2 linked regions of the Kluyveromyces lactis genome follow. The protein of the gene in region 2 binds, or shares a complex with, the protein of the main gene of each other region. Links are inferred from orthologs where the notes say so. Each region holds a gene or a part of one and is shown on either strand. Other genes may lie near its edges.

Region 1 (2,323 bases), on a different chromosome or scaffold from region 2:
ATTTGCATTGCTTTTACGGATAAAAGATGCTAAAAGGTTACCTGGTGGTATCAAGTTCAAAGTATATGATGATCACTTATTAATATCGAATAATCCAATCAGCTTTTTCATGACCTTTGAACCATTCACAAACGTCATGAAATCCATTCAAAGACAGATGTTCTCGGTTGAGACTTTGAAGATGGTGAGTCAGGGATCAGTTCTTAATGTACGAAGAGATGAACTCTATCGTGTTTTGTACCATAATCTACCGAGACATCCAATTGATATCGATTTACTATGGAAAAAGTTAAAGATGGTAATGGAACAAGATACGATATAAACCCCTCTCACAACCACAATTAATGGCACAGATTGCATAGTTTGAATCTTACTTGAATATTCGTATTTAATAAAAACATAGTTGAAATTCGTTAAATTCTTGGGTCTATTTGAACTGACTGATATAATTTATATACAAGGTATTTTTATATGATGGAAATGTTAATTGCAAGTCCCTTTAAGTGGGATAAAAGGATAGGCTGGGCTCATTTTGATCACTTTCTCTTCTTGGTCTTTTTACCGTCACCAGAGGCCTCTCTCTTCTTAGTTGGAGCACCCTTACCTCTACGCTTTCTTAGTTCAAGCATAGTCAATCTATATTGTTCTTCTTCATCAACGAAGTTCATGCCTGGATATAGTTTCTTCAATTGCTTGAATCTGATAAAATCTGGGTTACCATAATAATTCGCAATAGCAGGTCCTTTAAGCCTCTGTGCTAGGATCTTAGACCCAGTTCTGGCATTTGTTGGATTGAAATTTTGATCAAAAACTTTGGCTGATATCTCAGCAAGCTTCAGTAGCCTAGATTTGGGTACAGACATTTCTCAAAATATGAAAATATGAGTGATAACTGATGGAACAACCCGCAAACTAGTTCGCTGAGAGTTAAAGCACACCTAAGACCTATTTATTGGTACTTTCACTTACTACTTCTGCAGCAGGTTTCTATTTTATGCAAGCTCAGTTTTTTTTCGAATGTTCCAATGTTCAAATTTTCATTATCAGGAAATTATCACCATGATGAGGATAAGAGCGATGAGAGATGCGAGAAGGGTCACATTGCCATACTGGGTACTGAAGCACCATTGAAGGGGAAATATTCAGTTGGCACGTTCAATCAATTAAATAATATTCAATTCTTTGTATAATTATCGGGTACTAGCCTGGATCAATAATGATATTAAAATTATACACGATGTGGAGTTTTAAAAACTAGTAAAAATAGTTAAAAATATGAGCGGATGGTTGAGAGTTGTTGCATGAAGCTATAATAATAACAATGATAGTATGCTAAGCATTGAATCTATATTATAGAATGATGAATTAAACAAAAAAAAAGGTGGAATAACTTCCAGGAATTCAGTTAAAGAATTCTTGAAGTTTAGTTCCATTCTTCTTCTTGAGCTTGACCTTCTTCAGCCCATTCAGCAGCTTCGGTTTGTTCTTCAGTAGCGTCAACGGCTTCTTCAGTTTGTTCACCGGAAGCAACAGCTTCTTCTTCAGCAGTTTGTTGTTCGATTTCTTCTGGGTTTCTGTAGAAGTACAAATCTGGCATGATAGCCCATGGTTGAGTTCTGTCTGGTAGAGCACCTCTCAATCTTAGGACTTCTCTAGCCAACAAGTACCAGATCAAACCGATGGAGTGCTTACCTCTGTTGTTACATGGGATAGCAACATCAACGTATTCGGATGGGGAGTCCAAATCGGTCAAAGCGATGACTGGGATGTTAACGTAAGAAGATTCCTTGATAGCTTGAGCATCGGATCTTGGGTCAGTAACGATAACCAATCTTGGTTCCTTGAAAGATCTGGTGATGTAGTTAGTGAAAGAACCTGGGGTAAATCTACCAGCAATTGGAGTAGCACCGGTGTGAGCAGCGTACTTCAAGACAGCTCTTTGACCATAAGTTCTGGAAGAGATAGCAACAACATCTTCTGGGTTTGGAATGGCAGCAATGATTCTGGCAGCCAAAACAATCTTTTCCCAGGTCTTACCAACGTTGATAACGTTGACACCATCTGGTCTAGCCTTGTAGACGTATGGTTCTTGGTGAACCTGTTAATAATTAAAAAATAACCATGCAAACGTTTCGTTCGCAAAAGTTAAAAATATATTGTTAGTAAAGAGAGAGCTTTTTCCCAACCGCAACATGCGACAGGATACACTTTTCGAAGTGCAGATATTACCATATGATAGAGGAGATGTTCGTGTACTTTTTTATTATTATTTTAGTTCCCTAGAAATGGCAGGCCATTTCAATTGTTGTTCTTTTAACAGATT
Region 2 (2,920 bases):
AGGGTGACTGGCCTTTGCCAACCAAATTGCCATTAGTTGGTGGTCACGAAGGTGCTGGTGTCGTTGTTGCTATGGGTGAAAACGTCAAGGGCTGGAAGATTGGTGACTTCGCTGGTATCAAATGGTTGAACGGTTCTTGTATGTCCTGTGAATACTGTGAATTGTCCAACGAATCCAACTGTCCAGAAGCTGACTTGTCCGGTTACACTCACGACGGTTCTTTCCAACAATACGCTACTGCTGATGCCGTTCAAGCTGCCAAGATCCCAGTCGGTACTGACTTGGCTGAAGTTGCTCCAGTGCTATGTGCTGGTGTCACCGTTTACAAGGCCCTAAAATCCGCCAACTTGAAGGCCGGTGACTGGGTCGCCATCTCTGGTGCTGCTGGTGGTCTAGGTTCTCTAGCTGTCCAATACGCCAAGGCCATGGGTTACAGAGTGTTGGGTATCGATGCTGGTGAAGAAAAGGCTAAGTTGTTCAAGGACTTGGGTGGTGAATACTTCATTGATTTCACCAAGTCCAAGAACATCCCAGAAGAAGTCATCGAAGCTACCAAGGGTGGTGCTCACGGTGTCATCAACGTCTCTGTCTCCGAATTCGCTATCGAACAATCTACCAACTACGTCAGATCTAACGGTACCGTCGTATTGGTCGGTCTACCAAGAGACGCCAAGTGTAAGTCCGATGTCTTTAACCAAGTTGTGAAGTCCATCTCCATTGTCGGTTCTTACGTCGGTAACAGAGCTGACACCAGAGAAGCCATTGACTTCTTCTCCAGAGGTCTAGTCAAGGCTCCAATCCACGTCGTTGGTTTGTCCGAACTACCATCCATCTACGAAAAGATGGAAAAGGGTGCTATCGTCGGTAGATACGTCGTCGACACTTCAAAATAATGAAATCTCTTCCGCATTCAAGTCATGACTTTTTTCACCTTTTATATGTTTCCCTCCTCTCTCCGTTTATATAAAACATATCTGATCATTACTTCCCACTTATTCCGCCTGGTGTAGTGCTACTAGATCAATCCAACTTTATAATAAATCATTTTATAGACCTTCAAAATGAGACACGATATAATACTTTAATTCTTTAGCTCTTTTATAATAATTCTTACCACCCAAAAAAAAGGGAACTAATAACACCATTATACCATTACAGTACACATTGCGACCATCACCCTTAAGGTGAATACATCTGACCCCTAAAACAACTGGTACGTTCCAACTAGCTGACCTCTTAAGTACATCGACAATGTTCGCTTCGACCATCACACTGTACGAGTTGAAGTTCCATGTCTAACTCTGTATACATTGTCACTGGGAGCGAGCCAGACACGGATCTGCATTTCTAGATTGAAAAACTGAGAAAGTGAAAAATTTGGAAAGCTCAACCAGAGGTAGAGATAGAGATAGAGACAGACATAAATTAAGCTGAGCAGTCTTTATCTTAGTCGCCTGAGGTCTTTCGTGAGCAGTTTCCACAGGGATAGAAGGGGAGACTAAAACCAAAGATCAGAAAAATGTTCTCACGTTTAACTGGTGTCTCTTTGAGACAGGGTCTTACGGTACAGAAAAGACTATTCTCTTATGCCAGGCCATTGTTTAACAGCTCGGGGTCTGAGAGGACCGGTTCTGGTTCAAGGCAGTACAATGATGGCGCCCGTGCTGGTGCAGAATATGGTTACACAGGGACTAGAATTGTGCCTAAGTTGTCTACTTTTTACTCCGCCAACCCACATCACGAAGCTCATATCGATAACTTAGAAGCGTTGTTGAGGAAATATATCAAATATCCTACCGTCCAAGTGGAAGAAAGGCCTTCCTGGTTGAGTTTGCAAGAGTACGCTCTAATAGGTGGTGGGTCCCGTTTGAAATCTACCCAGTATAAGCAGCTTTTGTTCATGTTGAACCGTTTGAATTCTATTGATCCACAGTTGGTTACCGATGAGATTTCGAACACTTTAGCGAAATACCATAAGAAGACGAAGTTGCAACCTCAAAGAGATACTTTGAAGCAATTAGACGAGTTTGGTAGAAGTTTGGCCATCGGAAGAAGAAAGACCTCTACTGCCAAGGTATATGTGGTTCGTGGTGAAGGTAAGATCTTAGTTAACGACCGTCAATTAAACGATTACTTCGTTAAAATGAAGGACAGAGAATCCGTAATGTATCCATTAAAAGCCATTGACAGTGTTGGCAAATATAACGTCTTTGCAATGGTTTCCGGAGGTGGTATTACGGGGCAAGCCGATGCCTTGATGCATGCAATCGGTAAGGCATTGGTTGCTTTCAACCCACTATTGAAAACTAGATTGCATAGATCCGGTGTCTTGACAAGAGATTACAGACACGTCGAAAGAAAGAAGCCTGGTAAGAGAAAGGCAAGAAAGATGCCTACCTGGGTTAAGCGTTGATCTGATATTAGTCTCTGACCTTTCCATTAAAAAAAACACATGCTTGTTTCACAAGTCCTGTACATATATAGCAATTTTACATAATTTAACAAGCTCCTTTCACCTTTTACTCTGTCGTCCTACGTTAGCATCTCGTAGTTCCATTAGTCGTAGTTTCAAAAAATCTTGTAGATCCTTGTTCTTCCTTGTTCGTAGTAACATATCTTCAGACGTAACAACATTTCTGTTAGCATGTTGGGCAAAAGCTTCCAAATCACCACCAACCTCACATATCTGCTGGTAAACCAGTTCAGTAAGAGTGTTGACATATTTTGAATTGTATTTTACATCTTCTGGTAGTTCTCTTTTGATAATCGATTCCACATAGAACCACAGCTTCCCGCGTAACTGGGATCGTAATCTCTTCTCTTCATCCATATTTGATCAACTGAACGACGCTACCATGAATAGAGCCCACAGGACAATGCCAAGTCAGGAATTGCCAGCTCAAAACTCTAAACGAACTGC

The links.
Region 1: MRPS9 (region 2) and RSM27 share a complex: the UniProt entries of both Saccharomyces cerevisiae proteins name them as parts of the mitochondrial small ribosomal subunit. The link is inferred for Kluyveromyces lactis from reciprocal best matches to the Saccharomyces cerevisiae genes MRPS9 and RSM27.

The regions. Positions count from the first base shown.
Region 1 is NC_006041.1:1,440,361-1,442,683, forward strand, and holds RSM27 (mitochondrial 37S ribosomal protein mS33), read right to left. Parts: upstream 864-2,323; coding exon 537-863; downstream 1-536. Other genes in the region: GPI1 (phosphatidylinositol N-acetylglucosaminyltransferase), read left to right, coding at 1-322; KLLA0_E16149g (uncharacterized protein), read left to right, coding at 1,026-1,190; RPS0A (40S ribosomal protein uS2), read right to left, coding at 1,424-2,098. UniProt on the Saccharomyces cerevisiae protein: Component of the mitochondrial ribosome (mitoribosome), a dedicated translation machinery responsible for the synthesis of mitochondrial genome-encoded proteins, including at least some of the essential transmembrane subunits of the mitochondrial respiratory chain.
Region 2 is NC_006042.1:1,963,111-1,966,030, forward strand, and holds MRPS9 (mitochondrial 37S ribosomal protein uS9m), read left to right. Parts: upstream 1-1,519; coding exon 1,520-2,413; downstream 2,414-2,920. Other genes in the region: KLLA0_F21010g (zinc-dependent alcohol dehydrogenase), read left to right, coding at 1-893; MHF1 (Mhf1p), read right to left, coding at 2,513-2,830. UniProt on the Saccharomyces cerevisiae protein: Component of the mitochondrial ribosome (mitoribosome), a dedicated translation machinery responsible for the synthesis of mitochondrial genome-encoded proteins, including at least some of the essential transmembrane subunits of the mitochondrial respiratory chain.